2 linked regions of the Nothobranchius furzeri genome follow. The protein of the gene in region 2 purifies or fractionates together with the protein of the main gene of each other region. This does not show direct contact. Links are inferred from orthologs where the notes say so. Each region holds a gene or a part of one and is shown on either strand. Other genes may lie near its edges.

Region 1 (4,879 bases), on a different chromosome or scaffold from region 2:
CTCTAGAAGGAGTTACATTAAACACAGGCCATTTACCATTTACCAAATAAAGGATTCACAAATCACAAACTACAGGTCCTTCTAAAAAAATTAGCATATTGTGGTAAAGTTCATTATTGTCTGTAATGTACTGATAAACATTAGACTTTCATATATATTAGATTCATTCACATAACTGAAGTAGTTCAAGCCTTTTATTGGTTCTAATATTGATGATTTTGATGTTGCCCAAGGACATCTGCTGACTTGGACTACTGCTGAATCGTGCAACTGTCTGTTGCACATCGTGTGAATAGACACCGATTAGAAAAACTGAACGCTCTTTGTGTGAAACTTGTAACAATTACTAAAAACTGAGAGCTGTGATTCCCCCATCCTTCAGTGTAAGCTCTCAGGCATGTACCTAGGGACCCGCCCAGCTTGTAATAAAAGGACACGCTCGGATTTCAAAGGCGGGATGGTTTTGAGGATCTGCTGGCCCAGTGGAGACTGGGCTAATCGGACCTTATTCCATCCTCCTCGAGTATAAAACAGAATTCTGACTTTTGCATCTCCTTCCTTGTGTTGTTTATGATGTCTTAGGGGTTTAAACCTGACATAGATCTTGAGCCCAGCCAATTCTAATGGTTCTTTTTTGCTTTTTGTAATAATTGTATGTCTTGTTCTTGTTAAAAAATAAATAAACAAACAAACAAATAAATATTCACATCGACAATCCATCTCTGAGATGATCCATAAGCAGGGTTAGTACACATAACTTCACAACTGAATTAGTTCCAGTGTCAAAAGTTGATTTGCACAAAAAGGATGTTTTTATGCACGGAGGCAGCAGTTCTGTTGTGTGTGAGCAGAGCGCACCGCAGCAGCGAGCTTGTAGTGAGGGCGCACGTTTTTGCCGCTTGCGCGCTGGGGAGCGGTAGGAGAAATGGGTTTCAACAACAAAACCGAGCAGAATATGACGTAACATCGTTGCAAAAATGTGCAGGCTTTGATTAGCAGCAGGAGAGGGAGAGAGAGACGGCAAACACATCGAGAAACATGGAGGGAGCGGACTGATAGTAACGGTTTTTAACTAAACTGCGGTAAAGCATGGGTGTTTTAACCTGCTCATTAGAAAATGTGTGGGTGTTAAATCATCAGCATCTCCCATGGGTGCGACCACTAGGCCGGTCCAGTCATCTGACACACATACACACACTTTACTTTTTTAAACGCCAGAACAGCAGCAAGTGGGAACTGGAGGATACAGCAGGGAGGAGGGGGCGGGGGTGTTACCCTATAAGTCAGGCAGAATTGTTCTTTTCCGCTTTTCTAAGATGATTGGCTTAAACTTCTTCACCACGCTGCTGAGTCGTGTTGTCAGACATGAGTACCAGACGTGCATAATCGCTACAGAACTCACGTGTCTGCAGCTTTTTGCGTAGAGGGGTGAGTCGTACCAGCGTAATTAGATGCCAAATTGCGTACTTGGCAGGTCTGCATAAATGACTTGCCTGTTAACAGCAGTGGTGGTCTGCTGGTACCTCCTCCAGGACAGAGCACCACTGACCTCCATACCAGCCTCTGATCGTCTGTAACATCTTCCTCAGTCTCATTCTCCAGGGCCACATCTTCACCAGCACAGAGGCAGATGTGCAGTGCATGCTGACCTGTAATAGATAAGAAAAGTTTTTTTTATTGAAAAATGTAAAACAAACATATAACCTGCAGTACACTGGTTCTGTTCTGTTTAAAGAAAAGCAGCAGGGAATAGTTAAATAAAAACTACAGAGAATTTACATTTTTAAGACAGATCTAATCATTATTAGGCTTAAGTTGAATAAACAAATGCACATTGAAAACACTTTTTTGTTACTTTATTTACAAAAGCCTGTTTTAAAAAGTTTACACCCACTTGATGCTAAAAAAGAAGTGCTAAGTTCCAATTTACATTAGAAAACATCCTACTGCATTCAACATTTATAAAGCATTTGGTTTATAATAATTACCTACATGTTAATACTCTGTAGTAATGTGTTGTGTATGTTTAACAAGTTCATTCTGTAGCTTAAAACATACATGAAACCATCTAAAGTTAACATGTAAGTCCTGAAAGCTTCTAGAATAAACAAAACTACTTTACCTGAAAACGGTTGTGAACAAACGCTGCTGATGGACGTGAAGCTGCTGTAGCTCCTTAATGCTCCTGCTCCATGTTCGCTAGCTTTAGCATTTTTCCTTTGCGTGTTAGCTGCCGCCGCGGCTGTGACGGGACCTACGGGCCACCGTAGAGGTGAAGGCTAGACTGTCCGAATTCAGAGCCGCTGACTTACGGTTTTTGCGGTCGAGCATGGACCCGACCTAGCTGAACCGGTAAGGACCCGTCCTCACAAGCATCCTGCCCCTGGATTCGGACACACCCTACCTTTCCCTTATACCAAAGAGGTGACTTACGTTTTGAAATAGCATTCTAATCTGATGTTCTTGAGCTGGAAAGGTCAACTTTACTGAAGTGACAGCTTCGCAAATTACCATTCACCTAACGTTTAGCTGCAAGTAAAAAACAAGAATTAACTTGACTAATGTAAATGCAATTTCGACATATAAGCATATTTAAGAGTAGTTAACGTTACAAGACTTGCAATGTTTTCGTTTATTTGCTTCACATTTAGCTAAAGTTAGCTATACGCTAAGTCTTCTAATGTTACGTGGCCAAAAGACCGACTTGATTTGAAATAGCAGTGTTATATTTACCTGAAAGTACTATACACCAGGAGTGAAACTTACATGGCTTTTCTTATTTCTCAGTTCTTTTAGCCTCTCCTTTCTCCTTAGAGCCTGCTCCTGCAGCGATCCGACGTGTGGCTCCATGTTTATTTCCACATGCCGTTCGATGTTCTCTGAAATGTATTAACCACGCTGAATAATGAGGACGTCTAAACCCATGTCGAGCTCATCGATCACATTTGTCGCTAGATCCTTCACCCGCGCTGTTCGTCAATGGACCCTGACGTCCGTACGCGGCGGCCATATTACTTCTGACAGCTGCCCTTCTCTAACTGGTGTTTAGTGGTGCATGCACTATTTAAACAACTGTTAACTTTCTCAATTTTCAACCGATTTTCATACGGTTTGATTTTTTAGAAACATTAGAGACGTGGCTATGAAATATATCAGTTTTAGCAGGAAACGCCCCTTATTTCACTCCACTTTCCAGCCATTTTCCCCTATCCTGTCAATTTCCCATAGACTTACCGTTTTAATGTCAATAAGATCTGCTTCTGATGAACTAGCTGTAGTTTGTAAACTAAGGTCAACTTATAAATATAAGTTTTAAGATACATTAGAACTTACCAAATCAACTTATAAATAAAAACTCAAATACCTGATTTCATTTACAGAAAATAGTAAAACAAAAAAATAAAAATACACAGAAGCTTGAAACAAAATTTAAACACCTAGTCCAAAAAACAAAACAACTCTAGAACCTCAATGACTGAGAAAATATTTTATAAAAAGACAACTGAAGATATACAGAATATATTTTATTTACTTTGACTTTAATATTTGCAGGTAATATGAACCTAATGTATACTTGCTTTGGCAAGTTATTATAATAATTTATATTTATTTCCACTTTCAGCCTGCAACCCATTTAAAATGAAAGTTTGAGAAGAGAAAACTGGGATAATTGTGAGTTAATTAAGTAAAGGGCTAAATAAACACATCAAAAATTAAAGAGTAAATGAATGACAGACTGACAGTTATGAAAAACATGTTTATTACAGATTATACATGTTTTTGATTATAAAAATAACAGATCTAAGACAGATGCTAAAGCACATTGTGATTTCCTACTGACCTTTGAAAAGGACAGCTTTGTGAGCTTCTGTCTCACTCTGTCACACCGAAAGCTAAGAGTTGCTAATCTTGCATCCTCAGCTTGAAGAACAGGGAGACAATAGATGTCAACAGTGGATGGGAGTGAGACTCAGTTCCGTGCTGTGTCTCACTGATGTGCTCCCCAAGCAAAAAGACATCCTCTGACCCGATCCTCTTGCGCACAATGTAGACGACCTCCAGTGGTTTGATGGGCTGTGACCATCTGCTCACCGATGCCTGGCGAATTGCCCACTCTGCTTCTCTGATGACCCTCACAGTACCTTCAGATGGGACCACAAGACCCCTGTTGTTCTTCAGAGTCAGCAAATGGTAGCTCTGGTCATCACAGGCAGATCAATCAATCAATCAATCAAAGCTTTATTTATAAAGCGCCTTCCGCAACCCTGTCAGGAAGCCCAAAGCGCTGAACATGGTACAGTTGTAAGTAATTATACTGAATAAATCAACAATAAAAGAAATTCAAATTACAAAATACAAATTACAAAATACAAAATGGAAATAACAAGATAGATGAAACATTCCGGTAAAATACAAATGTGTGAAACACAATTGGATTGAGTGGATGGATTGAGTGTACCAATGAAAACTGTGGAATGGATTCAACATAATAGAGGGCCATAATCAAACATGTTCTGGAAACGCCAAGCGGAGGAGGTGTGTTTTTAGGTGATTCTTAAAGACTGGCAGAGAAGGGGACAGCCTAACTGAGGGTGGCAACTGGTTCCAGAGTAACGGTGCTAGGACTGAGAAAGCCCGGTCCCCACGGGTACGACACCTAGACCGAGGGACAGCGAGCAGGCCTTGGTCAGAGGAGCGCAGAGCGCGTGATGGGGAATGTTTGTTCAGGAGTGTGGCCAGATAGGGGGGAGCACCACCCTGGAAGAAATGATAAACAAAGACGAGTATTTTGAATTGTGAGCGATAGGAAATCGGAAGCCAGTGCAGGGAGGCCAGGACTGGACTGATGTGGTCCCGTTTCCTGGTCCCAGTCAGGAAC
Region 2 (4,718 bases):
GTGCTAAACTATTGACTACACGTGTCTGCAGCACGATTAGACACGCATTTGTATAGTTTATCAGAAAAAAAAAGTTGATTTGGGGGTGACTTGCTCTTTAAACATTTATAGGGAACCTTTGGAACAATCAGCAGCAGCTGCTCAGCTGAACGTTGGGCACGAGTGGGTGTGTAGAAACGCAGGTCGGCCAGGTAAGAGGGTTGGGGCAACGCAGAAGTATAAATCAGGCTTAAGGTTGTGTGGTTTGGTTTTACAAGAGTGCAGCGCCAAAGCTCACCATGATCTTTCTGGAGTTCTGAAGATTCTTTTGTCGGATTTCAAACTGAGCATGAAGCAGCCACATCTTAGCAAATGTGAACTGAAAGAGAAGAGAAAGCACGTCACAGCCTGGTGGTGGTGGGGGGTTACATCATGGTGAAGTTCTAAAGACCTTCTTGTGAGGGATCAGCTCCAGACAAGCCTGGTAAACCTGCCTCGTCCTCTCCGGGTCCTGCCGACACATGTCACCGTTACACCGGTCCGTCAGCGCCCTCTGCAGGAACGCTGCAGGACCACTGACCTTGGTCTCCAGCTCCTCGTACAGAGCGTAGTTGATCCACAGGTAGATGTAGCGCCTCCAGTGTCTCTTCTCCTGCAGGGGGGGCACATTGGCAATGGCTCGTTCGTAAACCTCTCTCACCGTGTCGGCGTCCGCATCGCTCTCCACCAGCCGCAGGTAATCAAACCAGGCGTCGTAGTTGTGTGGGTTAGCCTGAAGGACGAGAAGTTGCTGAGTTTGGGCCACACAGCAGAACACCTGCCTCTGCACACCTGAGCCCAGAACCAGACTTCATCTCTGACCTCCAGACAGGTGAAGTACCTTCACTTCCTCTTCGTACTGGAACCTCCGTTTGCTGACGATCACATCTTCGATTCCTCTCCGGTCTCCAAACTTCTTTTCAAACATGGTGTAGTTCTTGAAGAGCTCCTGGGCCTGATGTTTGGGGATTCTGTCCAGTGCGTACTTGTAGATGACTCGAACACGCTCAAACTGTCCAGAACAAGAACAGAAGTAAGAGAATCCACCCAAACAAACCCATAAACAAAGTTCTGATAGCACCCACCTCCTTCTGTGTCTCCTCAAACTTGGCAAAGGCCACAAACAGGTTCTCCTCCACGTGTTCCTCCCCGAAGAACTCCACAGCCCGCTCGTACACCTTCCTGCTGTGAGCCACATATCCGTGCTTCTCCTCGAAGCGAGCGTATTTGATCCAGTTCTTCACCTCCGGGTGAACAAGGACGAGTGAAGACGAGTTAAAGAACTTCCTGTCTGTTCAAAACCACGCGCAGCCCATCAACCACCAGAACCAGGGTTAGTTAAAAACCGGGTCAGAAGGAACAGAGATGTTCTCCAGTACTCTGTAGGATCAGGTTTAAGGCATTATGGGTCTGAATCTGTAGCTGAACCGGGTCACAGATCTTTGGTGTTTTAATTCGAGTCTGACTGGACCTGTTCCGGTTGTTTTTATGGAACGTGTGTTCTAACCCCACCATTCTAGGTTCTACTGGGCTCCAGTAGAAAGGATATAGTGCTCGTAGATGGTCCGGGCTTTGTCCACCTCCTTGTAGCGCAGCTCAAAGTTGATGTAGGAGTGCCAGGCCTGTTCTTCGGGTTCCCACTCCATCCAGCGTTCAAACACCTGCCTGCAGCCAGCCACGTTCCCCAGCATCTCCTCCATGTAGGTGTACTTGTACCTGAGCAGAACATCAAAAACGTTCCAGCACACACGTGAAGGCTCTGACAGAACCCCAAGCTATAGAGTCCTACCAGAACTGGTTGACCCGTGGAAGGATGGTGATAGCTCTGTCCCAGATGTTACGAGCATGATTCACCTGGCGGCTCTTCATCTCCATTTCGGCGTACTTCAGCCACAAAGTGACATTGCGGTGATCGACGTCCAGCGCTCTTTCATAAATGGACCGGGCCCTGAACCCAGATGAACAGTGTTTAAACAACTAACCAGGTTACCTTAAACCTCTAGTTCCAGCTGTGGTGATGACCTAAATACCTCTGGATCTCCTTCAGACTTTCCTCCCACTGAGCGTACTTAATCCAGTTACTGATGATGGTCCGGTTCTTCCTGATGTTGTCTTCAAAAGCCTGAAACACAGTTAGACCAGTACCCATCAGACGTGTTGTTTACCTGTTAGACTAACCCACCCATGGAGGCTACGCTCTCTAAATCACCTTCCTCTTCCTCAGCTTGTAGTCGTTCAGCTCCTCCTTATCGGTGATCTTCTGTTTGGGTGGCGGAGGCAGAAGCTCCAGCTCCCTCTCCTTGGCCTCTCTCAGCAGCTGCTCAGCTGTGATCTGGACCTCAGCAGGAGCTTTGTTCTTCACCTGGAAAGCAACACAATAAGCTTCAGGACCACTCCTCGGTACCACTCCTGTCCTAGAACCAGAACCAGGGTCCGGTGCGATTTTACACTCTTTAAAACCAGAATTGGCCAAAAAGTCTTTCTGCGTTTTACCAGAACATTTGATCGTTTTTGAATTTACAATTTTTTTTTTGTTTTGTTTTTCTGGTTATGATCGATGAGCCGGGCCGGACCAGAACCAGTGAGCTGAAACATTCTAGGGTTGTGCTGATAAATGGCACTTCAGGTCCAGCATGGCAGAACTACTGGACCTTAGCAGTGATGCTGAGATCCCAGGTGACCGGAACATCTGGGGGAACCAAAGCTCCCACACATCCAGGAGCAGCCTCTGAGCTCCCGGTGGAGGACAGGAGCTCGTGTCTCTGGACCCGGGCCATCAGAACAGAACTCACGGGTCACTACAGCTAAACAGTAATGCGTTAGCATTAGCTTAGCCGCTCTTAGCTCCGCGCTCCGGTCCGCTTACCTTCGCCACCTTCGGTATCCGCTGTTTCCCTGCCGCCGTGGAGGCCATGCTGCCGGTGTGTCGGACCAGACGTTCTCTGTAAAATAAAAGGTCCCAAAGAAACGACTGTTTCAAAGCTTAAGCCACATAAACGTTCCGTTTGCTGCTCCAGCCACCATGACAGTACCCACAATGCTCTGCGACTTCCGGTACGTTGGTATAGCAACGGAAGTTACACAAAGGGAGAGAGTAAAAAACTCAATTTTTTGTACCACGTGACTGAAACCCTCCTAGCTGCAGACGTAGCCCCGGCCAAACACCCCCCACCCCCCACCCACCCCGACAAAACACGCCCCCCTGTTGAGATACCCCCGAGCTCAATAACGGCGGCCCTCCCAGCGAACAACACAATTGAAAGAAAATAAATATAGAAATAGTAATAATGTAATTAAACAGACAGGACTCCAGGTTTAAATATGAATGTATGGATTTTTTTGGCCATCCCCAGTGAGATTATTTTTATTTCTTGTATACACACTTCATGGCCATCCCCAGTGAGATTATAAAACACAGATACCACCAACAAATAATCAGTTGCCGTACAATAGGCACAACATACCTATGCTTACTGACGTTAGCAGGTGAGTAATGTATGTGCAAGTGTTTATTTTAAATGCAATAAAATAAAATATCAGAAAAAGTAATTAGTGGTAATCGTTTTAATTAACCCCTTAAGCCCACTGACCCCCATTTTTGGGAGCACGCCTCCTACAGCAACATTTAACTTTCAACCATTTGTTATTACAGGCACTAACAGTAGGTCTAAGTTCATACGAGTGAGTAGTTAATATTTATGTTACTATCTGTGATTTTTTTATTGCTTCTTTACAGTGAAAAGCTGCTGCTGTGTAATTTTTAGGCATATTTACATGTGTATATATGCATTTCATATATTCTGTTAACAGGAATAATTGCTGGCCCTTTCACACAAAATGTATTGATTTAGAAATTACTAAAATATTTTGCATTAAGTATACAATTCACAAGACTAGTAAACTGATATTGACCATACACTAATCTGTAAAGAATATACTGTAAACACAAAAGCAGAAAAGTTTGGCTTTAGAAAAAAAAGTTCTGACAAATGAAACAACCAGCAACAGCTTTTATTGGCCTTACAAATACCTTCCAAAAAATAATAATAATAATAAATGTCCACACATTGCTACAACCTCTTGAAAAATTCAGATGAGTCCAGAGCTTTTCTGATTTTCTCCGAGTATATGAGCAGTTCCATGGCATAGGACATCAGCTGCCTCTCACTAGTGAGACAGAGATAAATAGCAATTAGTAAAAATGACATTTACACCTAGAGGCTGTCATAACCAATGTGAAAACAATACATATAGGAATTAGCACTGTTCTTGTGTTTGTAGAATACCTCCGGGCTACCACATTGCCGTCGTGAGTTTGCTGTTTATTAGATGAGGAGTCATAAACGGTCAAATAAATAGCCTATTGTTACGTTTATTTTGGCCAAAAGGCTTGCATGTAGCCCATTAAAAATTATATAAAAAATTTGCGTCCATAACGTTTTCCCCCACTGCCAATAATGCTTAATTTTATAAAAAAGGGTTTCAGAAAAAAATTACGAAGGCGCTATCTGTCAAACTATGTCTTAAACGTTCAAATTTCTAGTACAAAATCTTTGCAAGTTGGAAAAATACTTCATTCTACACAGAGAAGTACTTCTCTGTGTAGAATTAATTAATCCAGTTTAATCTTCTCCTCCTTCTCCTTCATGATATTATAGTTCCTAACATGTTTACCAAATAGATTAGGAGTTTTTAAAAGC

The links.
Region 1: the proteins of crnkl1 (region 2) and ccdc12 purify together in Homo sapiens (co-immunoprecipitation; 3 studies listed by BioGRID and IntAct, with this or other methods). This does not show direct contact. The link is inferred for Nothobranchius furzeri from reciprocal best matches to the Homo sapiens genes CRNKL1 and CCDC12.

Annotation. Positions count from the first base shown.
Region 1 is NC_091745.1:33,090,033-33,094,911, reverse strand, and holds the start of ccdc12 (coiled-coil domain-containing protein 12), read right to left. Parts: upstream 3,080-4,879; 5' UTR 2,851-3,079; coding exon 2,767-2,850; intron 2,761-2,766; exon of another isoform or gene 1,494-2,760; intron 1-1,493.
Region 2 is NC_091742.1:17,433,032-17,437,749, forward strand, and holds the start of crnkl1 (crooked neck-like protein 1), read right to left. Parts: upstream 3,071-4,718; 5' UTR 2,933-3,070; coding exon 2,885-2,932; intron 2,381-2,884; coding exon 2,228-2,380; intron 2,141-2,227; coding exon 2,049-2,140; intron 1,967-2,048; coding exon 1,808-1,966; intron 1,735-1,807; coding exon 1,568-1,734; intron 1,283-1,567; coding exon 1,104-1,282; intron 1,031-1,103; coding exon 860-1,030; intron 752-859; coding exon 560-751; intron 491-559; coding exon 431-490; intron 359-430; coding exon 278-358; intron 1-277. UniProt on the Homo sapiens protein: Involved in pre-mRNA splicing process. As a component of the minor spliceosome, involved in the splicing of U12-type introns in pre-mRNAs.